Struthio camelus: one gene and its partner. The protein of the gene in region 2 binds, or shares a complex with, the protein of the main gene of each other region. Links are inferred from orthologs where the notes say so. Each region holds a gene or a part of one and is shown on either strand. Other genes may lie near its edges.

Evidence for each region. The genes of interacting proteins can lie anywhere in the genome.
Region 1: the proteins of PAWR (region 2) and SPSB1 are in contact, whole or in part, in a crystal structure (PDB 2JK9), measured with the Homo sapiens proteins. The link is inferred for Struthio camelus from reciprocal best matches to the Homo sapiens genes PAWR and SPSB1. Residues at the interface, in NP_001341661.1 of Homo sapiens: Glu68, Leu69, Asn70, Asn71, Asn72, Leu73, Pro74; in NP_079382.2 of Homo sapiens: Arg77, His78, Pro79, Val80, Ala81, Gln82, Gly110, Thr111, Tyr129, Val216, Trp217, Gly218.

Annotation. Positions count from the first base shown.
Region 1 is NC_090962.1:5,493,054-5,500,509, reverse strand, and holds the start of SPSB1 (SPRY domain-containing SOCS box protein 1), read right to left. Parts: upstream 3,006-7,456; 5' UTR 2,770-3,005; intron 1-2,769. UniProt on the Homo sapiens protein: Substrate recognition component of a SCF-like ECS (Elongin BC-CUL2/5-SOCS-box protein) E3 ubiquitin-protein ligase complex which mediates the ubiquitination and subsequent proteasomal degradation of target proteins.
Region 2 is NC_090942.1:45,220,157-45,227,870, forward strand, and holds the start of PAWR (PRKC apoptosis WT1 regulator protein), read right to left. Parts: upstream 3,093-7,714; 5' UTR 2,913-3,092; intron 2,617-2,912; 5' UTR 2,459-2,616; coding exon 1,955-2,458; intron 1-1,954. UniProt on the Homo sapiens protein: Pro-apoptotic protein capable of selectively inducing apoptosis in cancer cells, sensitizing the cells to diverse apoptotic stimuli and causing regression of tumors in animal models.

The DNA of each region.
Region 1 (7,456 bases), on a different chromosome or scaffold from region 2:
AAGCTTTGTTTTGGGTTTTTTTTTTTTCTCTCCTCTCCAAGCGAGCCTGAAGACTTCCTGCTCCATTGTCAGCACTTGTACATTACATTTAAGTTTAATAACTGACTGTAACTCCCCCTTGCAGGCATCCCTCCATGCACAAGGTGTATTTCATTCAGTCTCCTGTCATACTCAGTTGCCTCACAAGACTGCTGGGTCTTTGCAAGACAGAACTGTTAGACACCTTCTTCAGGCTCGACATCACTTCACCCAGAAGTATGGTCTGCTGGAACAGATTTTCCTGGTTATCAGTCCAATGGGCCAAATTATTTTAGCCCAGTAGCTCCCAATGCATTGCAACACTCTGTGGCCTTGTGGGCAGAGTTAAGGGTGAATCCATGGAAACCCCTCCCCACTTTTTTTTTTTTTTTAAGGTAACAGTGCTTTGGGAAAACAAAATTAATAGTGGCTTTTGTTTCTGTGTGCTTGGGAACTAGTACTTGAAAGCTATGTTGCCCCATTTGCACTCTAAAGTCTGGATATCTCCTGTGGCACATGTCCCATCTCTGCCAAGGACAACTGCATCCATGCTCCCCCAGCAATTATTTATTGCAATAGTGGCAGATGTAGCAATTACTCACATGGAGGAGTAATTCAAGAGAAGATTTTTTTGTGTTGCTCAGAGTAGTGTAGTAACTGGAAGTGAGTCAACACCTTGAAATCAACCCCTTCTACGATGACCACTAGCAAAGGACTCCAGCAACCGCAGTTTTGTAACCTTGGTTCTCAGACACTTACTCACTTTTACTCTGTGGGCATTACACAGTTTTGCCTGGAAGCAGCTGGTATCTATCTTGTCTTGTAGCAGCAACTTAATTTGCTAAGTCATGTCACACGCCACAACTACAAGGAGCAGGGCTGCAAGTTTCACAATCAGCCGCCTATTTCAACCTTTGGAAACATCAAGGTTAGGGAAACTCATGCTCAGCCCAAGTTTGTTAATATAACCCATGCAGGCCTAGTAAGCTCTTTTTCCAATGATATAATGCTACCATCACTTTACTAGTTAATACAAGTATGAGCCTTCTTCTATGGGACACAAAGATAAGCTGTTACGAACGGAGTACTGCTGCACAACCCAGCTGAGGTCATCTCATTGATGCTCCCTGCCAACACCAGCTAATCCACCCTCCCCTTGTGTTGACAAGCCTTCAATGACTCGAGACTGAGTCAGTACATCTACGCTACAGCCCAAAACTGTAAGCACAGCTTGTGTTGGCATATAAGAGCTAGCCAGTTTGAACTGTGTCCTGACTGGCTCACTATCTACAGGCTTTTAACTCAGGTGCCTTCATGAATTCTCAACTAGCCCTTGCAAGACAGATACTGCTTTCACTTCTACTAAGAAAGGAAATGCAAGGGGACAGGGAAAGAAGGGGAGACCAACAAGCAAAGCACATCTATTTCCAGGATTTAGCTGCAATGACCTGACTCCACACAAACACAGCACATCTCAGCTAGCTGGTTCCTGGAACATGAAACCGCATCTCGGAAGTATCTAACATAAGTTTACAAACAAACCCCAATCACATTATAGTGCGCTTCAGTAACCTCTAAAGCGGGGAAGAGAGGCTGTAAAAGCCTGCTGCTGATGTTCTGCAACAATACAATGCCCCCCAGAGGAATACGCTGCTGCAGAAGTTCATCCCTTACCCTCAGAAAAAAATAGGGGGGGGGGGGGGAAGAAAAGGTCACAGGGAGAAGAACAAATTACAACTTCATACATCCGTCATCTCAAGTCTTTTGAGAGCCACGACAGGGCCGGAGGCCAGGCATACTGACGGAGGGAGCAGGGAGGAGACAGGCACACTAGCAGCTGGTTGGACACGGCAGACTCTCCTCCGCGAGCCGCTGAGTGCTCTCAGCGTTGCCATTCACTTTTGTAAACAGTCGCATGGCTCCATCACCTTCCCTGCAACTTCCCTCCCAACGCGCTGCAGAAGCCGCTTTCCGCACCCTACGCCGGGACAGCCGCTTTGACCCCATCCTACAGCCGCAACTCAGAAGCTGCCATCATCGGACACTCGGCAGTTTGCTCCTGGAAATGTGGCATGCAGCCCCCAGCGAGACGAAGCTGCACGTGCCACCGAAGCCTTCACAGCGCCCCTGCCCCAGGGTCTGCGAGGTAAAGGCAGACAGCAGCTTGGGAAGGAGAGAGAAAGAAAGGAAGACTGGCTTCCGAGACCAGAAGATCATACGCTCATCCTGCATCACTGTCAGATAAGAAAAACGAGATTTATTTCTCTAAGGGAGTAGCTGCCATCTTTGCAATCATTTCGTAAACTTCCTACTCTTACACCGAGTGATGGCTCAGGCTTTCTAGTCAGCTGCAGCCACTCTCCGTCACCAGCCACACTGATTGCTCAGGCAGATAAGGCAAGCAAGTTACACTCCATCACAAGGATACGGCAAGATTAATCTCGTCTGGTAGCAGAGTCTAGGCTCCTCAGACACGGGGTTATATAAACTAGCGCACATTAGCCCACGTTCACGTCGCGAAAGGAGAAGAGAGGGCCGTGCTCCTCCAGCCTTGCAAGGTGCGCTCCAGCGAGACGCGGGAGCGAGCGGCGCCCCGCTCCCCCAGCGCGCCGGGCTCCGCGCTCCCCGCCTGCGCGCTCCGCGGCCGCCCCCGCCACCCCCAGCGCCGCGCTCACGCGTGGCCCCGCCGCGGCGCGGCCCCGGCAGCGCTGCGCCCAGCCCAACCCCAACCTCAGCCCCGGCGGCTCTTACCGCTCCCAGGCTGCCGGCCGGAGCATGGCAGCGTCCGGGGCCGCGGAGAGGTGCGGAGAGGTGCGGAGCGCAGCGAAGGCGGCGCCGGTCTGCGCCCACCCATCCACCCACCCACCCGCGCCTCCGCCGCGGCGGGGAGGCTGGAGCGGCGGCTCCGCCCGGCGCCAGACGCGGCCAACGCGGCCCGGCCCCTCACATGGCCCAAATAACAGCCGGCCCGGCCCGGCTCCGCCCCCGGCTGCGGCCCCGCTCCGCCCCTTCTCACTCCAAGAATCGCTAAAAATAGCCGCAGGTTTGGCGCTCCCAGCGCTCGTTTTTTCGGTGCGGGGCGGCACGGGCCGGGATTTCGTCGCTTGCTGGTGAATTTCGCTTTCAGCCGCTCAGAGGTTGACCCGGGGTTGCAGTGCTGGCGTTGCGGTCACTCTAGGGAGCATGCGTTTTTTTATTTTATTTTTTAGAACTGATTTATTTACGCAAATAAATCATGGAAACGATTCTGATCGTTTCAGTCTTCCCCCCCCCCCCCCAAAAAAAAAAAAAGCGAATTTAGGGACAAATCTGACGCAGCGATGTCTCTTTGAGACGATTCATTTTCAGTATTCCCAAGCAAAAAAGATTCTGTAGCCATATTGCCTGGAGCTATAAACTAGTAATTGTCATAAATTGAGCAAGCCTTTTTGCATGGGATACCTCCAAGGACCACCTCGGAGCTGCAGGAAGTGGTATGAATGATTCAGGAGGTGGCAGCCTGCCATCTGAGTCAGTATTGAACCGATGCGCCTGCATGCCGCCAAAGTTATTGTTTTTTGAGATGAAACATTAACGTTGGGCCTTGACCAGTTCTCATCATTAATGGTCCTGGGACATGTTTGAAAAGAAGAGCTGGGCTCGTTTGTGTGCCTTAATTTGTACGTCCCAAATTCCAGAGCGCTTTGTTTCCATCTCTGCTGAAGTTCCTTTTCACCACAAGGCCTCAACTCAAACAAGAGTCATCCATAAATGCGCAAGTGTGTTCATTCTCCTCACCTGCCTTTAAATTAGACGGGGTGCTCAGCCGTTTCTCTCCTTGCTGTGCTCCTCTGAGGGAGGGAGGGAGGTAAGCAGTGAGGAAGGCGATTCCCCCGCGTATACACGTGCCAGGGCTCTGGGGATGCTGGTGGAAGGCGGTATGATTCTCCTCTGCTAAGAGCTGAACAGGCTTTTTCTCATGGTTTGTGGGCCGTTCGTTCATGCACAACTTAGTGATACCCTGTGCTGGCAAGGAGGGAGTCGCATGTCTGCAGATGGGCTGACACGGAATTGCAGGCTGTGTGGTGCCCAGGGGCCGTAGGCTCCTCGCTGCTAGGTTACTTCTTCAGCGAGGTGGTCAGTCACAGCAGGACATCGAGCGATATATCATGCGTGATATATCAGCACAGCGCTGACCCCACTGAAATATCAGAACAAAGGGGAAGCTGCAACTTCCCGTGGCCTTTGTAATGCAAAGGCCAAGGTGTGGTGGCTTGACTGTTGTATACCCCCCTCTCCTTCACCCCTTTCTGGCCATGCAACCAAAACAGTCCTGCAAAAAGACTTCAGCCAATGCAGGCAAATACTCCTCTCGGACTCCATGGGACAATGCATGCATGTGAAGTTGCCCACATGTGCATTCGTGCCTTTCCAGGACTGAGGCACTAATTTGTTAAGCATCTTTTGAAATCCTTAGGGAATAGATGCTCTGTGCCAGCCATTGTGGTTCACTCGAAAAACATGCACATTACATTAAAGTTATTGCTCTAGCTGACCAGAGACACCAGGGAGTTTGTAGGCACTGCACAAATGTCTTCTTTCACAGAAGACAGACATGGGAGAGATTTCATGTTAAACAGATACATCTATTTGGGTGGCTTTTTCAAAGCTACTTTGCTTTGACCTCATCCTGTTCCTGTTTAAGTCAACAAGATTTTTCCCACTAATTTCAGCAGAAATCGCTGTGAAATAGTCCCCCAGGTGTATTGTGAAAATCTCCTTCCTTAAGATTTTCCTATAGGTTGCCTGTCCATTTCTTGGACAGCTGGCCAAACCTAGTGGGCTCATGCTCACCTGGAAACCCTGTGAATACTGCTCCGAGAGAGATGAGGAAGGATGTTGGCTCTGCAAACTAGCTCCAGTGCTTTCTAACAGCGCGCTGGCAGCTTGCGTGCAAATCCATCCTTGCCCGTGGAGAATTTTCCCATTTGATCTCCACTTGTTCCTGAGTCACTTGTGCCTCTTATACCCAGGCCAAAGATCTTGGAGGAAAGAACCACCCAAACATTAGCCAGAGAGCAAGGCAAACTGAAGTGTTGTATTGGGAAACTCCAGAACTGCTCAGAACAGGAGCTCTGGGGGCCATGTTCTCATTTACAGTAAATCACTCTACTACACGTATTAAAGTGCACCTACTTTAAAGGCTTTGTTTCATTACTGCCAAGTTGGGAGGCTGCTGTAACGTGAGAACCTCATCGGTGGGAGTGGGGCAAAGGCTAACGTGGCTTTGTAATCTAGGAAGACAGAGGGGAGGCAGCTGTTGATTAGTGGGCTGGCAGTAGCTCTTGATGCCTAGAGATGCAGATGGGGAAACTTCCTCTTGCTTTGAGACCTTCCCCTGCACATCTGCTGCGCCCCAGGAGGGATAACAGAGCAATAGCCAGAGCCAGGATCCTGCGGGAATCCCAGGCTCTCGCTTATGGAGACTTTGAAAGCAGGTTCTCGTTGGCCCGTCTCGCCGCAGCTCGCTCCCCAGGGTGTATTAAAGGGTCAGCACAGCGTGAGCACCTTCTGCAGCAGCAGAGGCATGTCATCACTGAGTCCAAGAAAGATGTTAATGAGGTCTGAGAACTGTGCAGGAAACTCAGCAGGCTTTAATCTGCCTGTGAATTCAGCTGCTCTGCTGACTCCACTACAGCGATGTTAGCTGCCTCCCAGAACTGGAGATATCGATTTCTTGAGGCCTGAAGGGTGAAAGCAAGGTACGAAAGGTTAGGCCCCTGCCAAGGCAGCAGGAAAAGCAGAGAGCAGGGAGAAAAGGCATTAGGTGTGACATGATTTCTTCAGCCTGGACTGCTGGCTCACCTAACCTTACTGCGTTCTGGGTGGAGAGAAGGTGGCCTGCAGGAGCTAAACTTTGGGCCAGCTTCTTGTAGCAACTGAAGTGGAGGCATTCATGTTCAGCTAAACCCGTGCCAGGGTACTCGGCACTAAAAGGATCAACAAGTCAAGACGGATCTATGAGCTGTCATCCATTTCTCCTGCAGGAAGCGATCAGAATCAGATGAGCTGGAGAAGTAACAAAGGGATTTCACTCCACCCCTTCCTCCCAGATAATGAGTTCTGTGTTTGAACTATCAAAAAGCAACTAATGATCTCAGGTGCCCAATTGTTCTTCAGAGGGCAAAAGTGTCTCATTGTTGCATGAAAAGCAAGGTCTCCTAAGATGTTTTAGAGTGAGCTTATTAAAACGTAGGCCGTTCTCATCCAAGAATGGAAAGGCATGGGCAGAGCTGGACCAATTCTGCTTTGTCCACTGACTTTGAGTGACCTCTGACAACTGCTTTTATTGCTGTGAGATTACAGTGTGGCTCTGTGCTCTGTGTGGAGCTTATTTAAATACCTTCAGAAACAAAAAGTGGTGCATTGTGCACTCACTTATCTTGCCAAGAGCACATTACATCCCTTGTAAGTAAAGAAGTATTACTGTTTTCAAACTGAGAGATTAAATGGCGTGTCCGAGGTCACGTGCAAGGGACCTCTGCCAGCCTGGGGAATGGGATGCAGGTTTCCTGGGTCTCAGGCTGGCTCTGTAATAGCCACTAACCCGTCTCAGTCGGAGTGTGCGGCCTCCCCCAGACACCACAGTCAGCACTACCCTGGAAAGGGAATGTTGCAGTAGTTCCTGCCCTTTTCCCAAGAGGACTGTTAAATTAAGGGCACACCAACTGAGTTGCCACTCCATGTGAGACTGCAGTTCCTCTTCCATGAAAAGTCACCACGTCACTTCCAGCCTTGCTCAAGATTTCCTTACGATCTTCTCTGTATGTAACCTCCAGTTGTGGACACAAATGCATGAGAACGTAACCAGGGCAGCAGGGTATTTTCTTACACAGTTAACGCTCCCTGGGTTCATCTCTTGTCCACACTGAGGCACCTGCATTAAAGTTCGGGAGCGCAGCAGGTTTACAACTACCATATGGTTGCAAGGATCCTTCACTGATCCACCCTGTAAATAGAAGTTAGAAGCTTACCCACACCTGCTGCGTCCGCTCCGCTGAATCAGTGCGGAAGTACAGCCTGTTAGCGCTAATGTCACGCAAATCCTGCTGGACAAACGCAAAGGAGGAGAAGGTTCACCAAGACGCCTTTTGTCTGAAACGCATCTCCTCACACAAAGGAGTCAGATGTGGTAGCCTACATTTTAGGCTTATTCCCAGCAAGCAAGGTTGCCGCCTGTCCCTGCAGTGCTAGTGAGAAAAAGATCAGATACAGCATCTTGAGCCAGATGATCCCGAGGGGCATGATTTCTCGCTGGGCTACTTGCGGCACCTTGCCATCGCAAGCTGTGAGTTTCTTTGTCTGAGGGTTGTCTCACAGTCTTGCACTTTCTTGCACACTAGTTCCAGGCTTGAACGGGTTTCCTGCTCTAACAGAAATCCCCCTTCTTTACGGGGAG
Region 2 (7,714 bases):
TTTGCCAACGGACAAGAAGTTGCTTCTCAATGCTTAAATACACTAAGGTTAAAAATACCTCCTCCCAACAGTGCAGCAGACGTTGTTACAGTAACAAATCCACAATGTTCCTGAGCAAAGACTGTGCTTTCCTGGAAAGCAAAGAGTATTTTGAGCAAGGTTCCTTTAAAAAATAATAATTAAGTAAATAAAAAAGAGGGGGGACAGAGACAGACAGAGAGAGAGACAGAGAGACAGAGAGACAGAGAGACAGAGAGACAGAGAGACAGAGAGACAGAGAGACAGAGAGACAGAGAGACAGAGAGACAGAGAGACAGAGAGACAGAGAGACAGAGAGAGAGAGAGAGAGAGAGAGATAGAAAGGAACTATCAAAGGACAATAGTTTCAAAAAAAGGGATTGGGAATTTGGAGCACAGCAGAGACCCTAAAATAAAGTGTTGAACTGTTCATATGCAAAAGCAGTATTAACTGGACCATGACTGGTTTACTTGGGGAAATAAAGATACAGCATTTCTAAAGCTCATATAGGAGCATGAGGTGGGGGGAATTATTTAGGAGGTTCTGTATAAAATAAACAAACCATGGACTAGAAAAGTTTGCACACACTAGAATTCGAGTATTAAAAAAAAAAAAAAAAAAAGACTCACTTGAATACTCCTGCTTTGGAAAGTGATGGATGCAAGACCGATACCAGAACACTTCACCTCAAAGCAAAGACTATGCAAGTAAGGAAACTAATCACTTCAATTAAGAAGTGCAGGATCAGCCTGTAAGAACACAATTTTAAAGACTTCTTCCTTCCCTAGAACTCATTAATTCCTTCCCTCCCGATATCTTCTCACATGCAAGTGACTGCGGGAAAGTGCTTATTAAGTCCCAAAGAAAGGATTAGTGACTTTAGGTACGGAGAACAGGATCTCATCTGCTGCTGCTGCTTTAGAAACACATATCTTGTTTTTATTGGCATTTTAATAATCTCCAGTGTTAACCAAAAGAACTGATAATACAAGGTTTTTTTTCTGCAAGGATGTTGGTCATCAATATTAATGCAAGACTGTAAACTAAAACACAGCTTTGTTTAAAGTTTCCTCTGGCCTTTCTTATTAACCGCAAAAAGCTAAAAACTTGGTTATCATTCTTCTGAATTCCTCTAGGAGTATTATAAATCAATGCCAGATTTTTATACTAGTAGCAAACCACAGAGGACAGCGGTGTTGGCTGATAAAAATATCTTCCTCTGCTTTCAAAAAAATGCTCTTTAAACCACTACATTTTTTCCAGTGCAGGAAATTCTTTCGGGTTCCAAACTGAATAATATTTACACCTGAACATCTATTCAGAGCTGACATATTAGTTTTCTTTCATTACTATTGTTTTGATCCTATTTTGACGAGCACGTACCTCTTAGTTTGATCTTCCAGTAGTCTTAAAAGTTATTCTCTGCCAACATAAAGACATCCCCTCCCCCCAAATCACTCTCGATTAGAGGGGCTTTTATTTTAAAAAAAAAAAAAGTTACTACTGCGCAACTGTTTGGATGGCACACTATAGTGACACAGAATCCACCTCAGGGACTGCGCTGAGGCTTCTGTGTTTTTCTACGTGATGCAGGGATAAAACTCCACCACCTCAGTTTTCGCCCAGACGCACCAACGAATCCACGTCGAGGGGAGGCACGTTCAGCAGGGCGGCGGGCAGCAGCCAGACCCCCGGCCCCGGCTCGGGGCCCGCAGCGCCCGGCCCCGCGCGCCGGCCTGCCCCCACGCGCGCCCCCGGCTCCGCGGGGTCTCCGCGGCCCCGGCACGACGCTCGGGCCGGGGCAGCCCGCCGGGAGCCGCCTCCCGCCGCGCGCCGCGCCCGGGGCTCAGGTGCGGCGGCGGCGGGCGAGCGCCCTCCTCCCTCCCTCCGTGCCTGCCGCCGGCCGGCCGGCCCGTCCCCCGCGGGCTCACCCACCTCGGCGGCCGGGATGTTCACCACACCTGTCGACCTCCTCTTCTCCCGCAGCTTCCTCTTCTCGATCTGCCCTTTCCCCTTCCTAGCGCTGGGGCCGGCGCTCTTCCCCTTGGCGGCCAGCTTCTCCTCGCCCTCCGGGGAGCCCGGGGCGGCGGCGGGAGGGGGCTTGGCGGCAGGCTCTGCCCCCCGGCCCCCGGCCAGGGCCGGCAGCGGCTCCTTGACGGGGGCGGCCCTGCTCAAGGCGGCGCTGGCGAGGCTGACACAATGGACGGCCCCGCCGGCGGAGGGCGCCGGCCGCTCGGGCGGGGCGGCCGGGCCGCCGGGGTGCAGGTTGTTGTTCAGCTCGGCGGAGGACGTGCCGCCCAGCGGCTTAGCCTCGCCGCCGGCCGCCGCCGCCTGGCCCGGCGGCGCTTGCTTGGCCCGCATCTTCTCCCGCTTGGCCTTCCACTCCTCCAGAAAGTCCGTGGTGCTGCCCCCGGCGCTGCGGTAGCCACCGGTCGCCATGTTCGCGGCGGGGTAGGCGGCGAGGTTGCCCCAGCAGCACCTCTGCCACCGGCCGCCCGCCCTGAGGCGGCTCTGCCGCTGCCCGGGGAGGAGAGGTCCCGGCGGGGCGGGCGGGAGGGACGGGGGCGGGGAGACGGGCTCGCAGAAACACAAACACCCTGGAGAGAAACAAAAGGGGAGCCGTGAAACATCCACGCCGCAGCCCGTCCTCGTCCTGCCTCCCCGCAAGCCCCTACGCCGCTCCCCCTCACCCCACCCCACCCCGGGACGAGGCGCCACCGGCGCCCTCCCTCAGGCGCGCGGTTCCAACCGCCGCCTCGTTCCCCCCCCCCCCCCCCCGCGGCAAGGGCCGCCGCGCACCGGTTCCCCTCCTCTCCCCTCCCGGCGCCCGGCCGCCTGCCTGCCGGGGCGGCCCCCCGCCCCGCGCCCGCGCGGGGAGCGCCCCGGCGCTCACCTCCCGGCCGGCGGGGCCGCGGCACAGGCGGTCCCCAGCGCCGGCGGCACCAGGTGAGCAGCACCGCCTCCCGCCGTCCCGGAAGGAGCGGCGCGGCCCCGAGGCTTCGCGAGCTCCCTCTCCCCTCCCTCTACGCCCGCCCGCCCTCCACCATCGCGGCGCGGACAGAGCCGAAGCGAGGGCGGAAACTGCCGAGATGGCCCTTAACAATGGGGCGCGCGCCGAGGGCCGGCACGGAGGTTCCGACCCGCCCGGCCCGGCCCAGCCCGGTGCGCGTTGCGACCTGACCGCGCCGCGCCGGTTGCCGCCCGCCGCTGCTCCGCCGGCGGCGGCAGCGCCGTGCTGCCACCTGCCCCGGCGTGAGCGCAGCCGGAGGGGGACCCCCACCCCGGCGCTGCCAACGGCGAGGCGGGCGGCGCGGGAGCGGGCGAGGGCTGGGGGCGCCGCCAACCGCCGGCCAACCGCCAACCAACGGCCAACGGCCGGGCGGGCTGCCGCGCCGCCTTAGGCCACGCTCCCGTGCAGCGGCGTTTGTCCAAAAGCCTCCGGTGAAGGCGATTCCCGCCGTGCCCTCGCCCCAGCTGCCCCGCAGGCTTTGTCCCGGCGGGCCTGGGGTGAGGAGCTACCGGGAAGGTGCGGCCGAAGCGGCCCGGCGCTGCGCCGTTGGTGAGCGGGGGGGGCGGCCGGCGGGTGTGCGGCCGGCGCTGCCTCCCGCTGTCCCGAATAACACGTCGGAAGTCCGACTTCGTGAATTTTTGACTTCAGCTGTCGTTAGGAAAACGCTGTGTTTAGGGAGAAACGCCCTCAGGAGCTGCGCCGCGTTAAACTGAGCGCTCGGCAGCGTGCGGCGTGTGCGTGCCTCAGGGAGGAGGCGGTGCGTGCTGCGGCTGAAAACGTAAGGATCGCTGCGTGTTGTGCTGGTCGACGGGGTTGGTACACCTTCAGACCGGGAAGAGTCTGAACTTAATCACTCCCGCAGCGTAACAGCTTCCTCCTGTCTGCAGCTCTGGTGGGCGCACTGAAGTTACTGAGTAGACCTCCCTCGTTTCTGCAGGCGCGAGGTCGGGGCAGAGCCTGGGCTCTCCTGGTGTGACGAGAAACAAGGGATTTCCTTCTGTCACTCTGCAAAAGCTTGAGAGATGTAGCGTTTGTAAATAATACAGTCTTCGGCTCGGGAAGCTGACTTTCTTAAGTATTAGGGAAGACACACGTGCAGCGAATGTGATTTAAGTATATTGTTTTCATTCGATTGGTATAAACGGTCAAATGACAAAACCTGCATGGAAAACGTGCCCTGTTTTTTTCTGAACTCGCTATATCATAATAGAACCCTGGAAACTGATTGTGTTGTTTTTGTAAATCACTGGTTTCAGTAACATTTGCTTAATTCTGATTTATGAGGAGTACACTAAGAGGAATGAAGGACTGGGTAGGTGCTACTTTTGCAGTAGGTTCAGGCAAGTGGGCTAGAGCAAGATACAAGTTTATGTCAGAGGCACAGGAAATCCAGAAAACCTGGGTTTATGTAGCTGGGAGCATATCACAGAATCACGGAATCACAGAATCGTTTAGGTTGGAAGGGACCTCTGGAGATCATCTAGTCCAACCTCCCTGTTCAAGCAGGGTCACCTAGAGCACATTGCCCTGGATCACATCCAGACGGCTTTTGAATATCTCCAGCGAAGGAGACTCCACCACCTCTCTGGGCAACCTGTTCCAATGCTCTGTCACCCTCACAGTGAAGAAGTTTTTCCTCAGGTTCAGATGGAACTTCCTGTGGTTCAGTTTCTGCCCGTTGCCTCTCCTCCTCACAGTTATTCCTCACTTTTCTCTCTCTTTCAGATTCAGTTCAGAATTTGTCCATTGGGTTAATAAAACCCTCAAGTAGTTTAGATTATAAACTCTGTAGACGTTTTTGGTTTCTTTTTACACTGTGCATATAAACATATATATACATATATATATATAAAAATATATATATACACATACATGTATAACATCTAGTAGAATGGAGTCCCCAGTGCCTGACTCTAACCTTTCTGTAGCCAGCAGTATAACTAACAGACTTACTTCATGCACACCACTTACCACTTTGACCTTATGTGCCTCTCTGTCCTGTTCTTTTGTACCGTAATTGGTGCTCCCTCACCATACCAGCCTTCTGTGCCCTTCTGGTGATCATTCGTTTCACTTAATTCATATCTGATTTCTACTCTGGTTTGGGTTTGGGGTTTTCTTTGGTGAAGAGGGTGGTTTTGAAAGGGGGTTTATATGTTTGCATATAAGGAAGTTCAGATGCCAGGATCCTTGGTGCAGAAGAAACCTCTTATTTTTCAAGCTGAGGGAAAACACCAAAATAAGCCAGGAAGTAAATGTTGAAAACATTCTGTAATGTAATTTTTTACTAACTCTAATACTTCTTAATACTCAACAATATAAAATTAGTAAAGTTGATCAAATTTCTACTTGGAGATCAAGTGTTTAAAAAAAGTTGACTTAACGAGAATTTTGATCAAGGTCTCTGCCCCAGAGCCCCTGAATTCTTACCTGTAGAGTTTTAAAGTTAGAAAACTACTCAGTTATATTTTTAGGAAACATAATTTAGAAAAATTCAGATGAATAGTTGTCTGCAAGGTACTTCTCCCATTCTGTCAAATACTGCCTTTTATACAACAAAGTTCTCTTGTGAGAATCAACATAGCTGTGACAGTACCAGTATTTGTGTCCTCGCTCATTAGTATACCCCACGAGGAGCACATCTGGCCAAAAATGTGTTAAAAGGGTCAGATCAGAAAGTTGTTATTTATAATATGTTATGTCTATGGAGAAATAGAGCAATAAATTTTAGTTCTTAATCTCAATTCTCCATTACCTTGGGTCTTCCCAGTTGCTGCTTCAGCCCCTCTCAATGTGGCAGCCATTATCAGCAAGGTTTAAATGTGTTTGGCCCACTTGGCATCTCTTCTGCCACCCTTATTAAGCATAGGGGATGCTACTGCTGGGCTTTAGCTGGATCTGCCATTGTTGTTAGATTTTTTTTTTTTCCTAGTGCCTGTAAAAAAAAATGTTGGGTTTTTTTTTCCCAGTGCCAAAAGGCTTTGTGTTCTTTACAGTCTGTTATATATTAACAGAAGTTATGTTGTGGTGAGTGAGGTTGGGCTTAAGTGCCCGCTACAAAAATGCTGACTGTCAGATGTTTGCATCTCAATAAGGTTGTCTGTGCTGGAGAGCTTTCAGGGATAAAGTCCCAAATAGTTTAAGTATCACCCTGCATGTTTTCCTCAGCCACAACTGAGAACAGCTTAATAGGTTGCAAACATTTTTAGAACAGCACTTTTCTCTTTTCTTAAAAAATTCTTAGGGATATTTTTAAGGCCTAGAAATACAATTCATTTTATTAGCCACGTTTAGAACTATCAGAATGACAAAGGACCTTAAGCCTGAAAGTAGTGTTTTCTATATACTCATTATTGTGGAATGAGACTCTCCCCTAAAGGTAAAATTACTACTAGGATTTGGTAGGATGGTCTAGATCTCCTTTGCCAGGCAAAAAGCAAACACTCCATTTTTTTCAATTTAGAATAAAAAACATCATTTATTCTTAAAATCTTGAGGAACTGAAGTGCCTTTTGAGGTCAGACACTTTAAAGCCAGATCCTTTGTTGAATGGTTGCAAGCAGTTCAATATTTCTGTGATTTCTGATAGAGATTCCACCAAATTACCCAATCTTATTAAGGTTCTGTGTACGAGTTTAGCTATCTGAGCCATAATCTATCAAGTGGCAGTTTTCAAGGGATGGAAAATTAAACGGTCAACCCAATAACACTGTATTATTGGCTGAGCAAACTAAGGACAACATCCGAGTTCCTAGCCAAAGTCTATTTGCATGTTATCCCAACTTTTTTAATACCTGCTGACCTCCATGCTGTATGCTCTGTACAAAAACACTACTTCTCTGTCACCTTCTTCAGCATCTTTGGAAGCTCTCCCCAAAAACTCTGTTGAGATTACTATATTTGCCTGTCTAGCTCTTACATACGCATACTCTTCCTTCCGTTCTGGACTTCACCCCATCTGTGTCTTTCTTACCTGAACTTCCATGAAACTCTTCCCCTAAATCCACCTATCTAGTACTTCCTGTATCTGATGCCCTTTGAAGTTCCTTCAGTCAACATTCTTAATGTTTCTTCTCCTAATACAAACTTTTTCAGTTACGTGCTTGTTTCAGAACCTGCTTTATCACTCTTGCAAAATTTAGAGAAATCACCCCAGTAGTGTTCCATTAAATCTACCCTCTCAGCTGCTTCAGTTTCACCTGCTGTATAATCCTCATACGATTCTCACACTTGATACTAACCTATCTACGTACTTATTTCTGCACTATTCTATTATTAACGCTGTTGCTTAAAATCACTATGATTCAGTGAAATCTTACTACCACCTTTTCATGGAAATGTCCCTGCTTCACTTCTTAATCCATAAAATTTCAAAAGCCTTCTCTTTAAACCTTTCCCATTAAATCACTTGCATAACTTCTCATCTTTCTTCAAAATCCTCACATATGTGCCATGAAATTTCTAATGTCAATTCTCCACATAAAAGTAGTAACCTTCCTAATGCTTCCTAATGCTTTCCAAGCCAGCGCTTCGCTGTCCTGTAGCAATACTCATGTTCCTCTCTCCAATCACTCGTGCTGCCTCAGACCACGTTCTTAGAATGAGATGGGATACACTTTCCAAATGTGTAAGTAAGTGTCTTTCTCCTTGTGCTCTTCCGTTATTCCCAGTTATATCTCTACCTG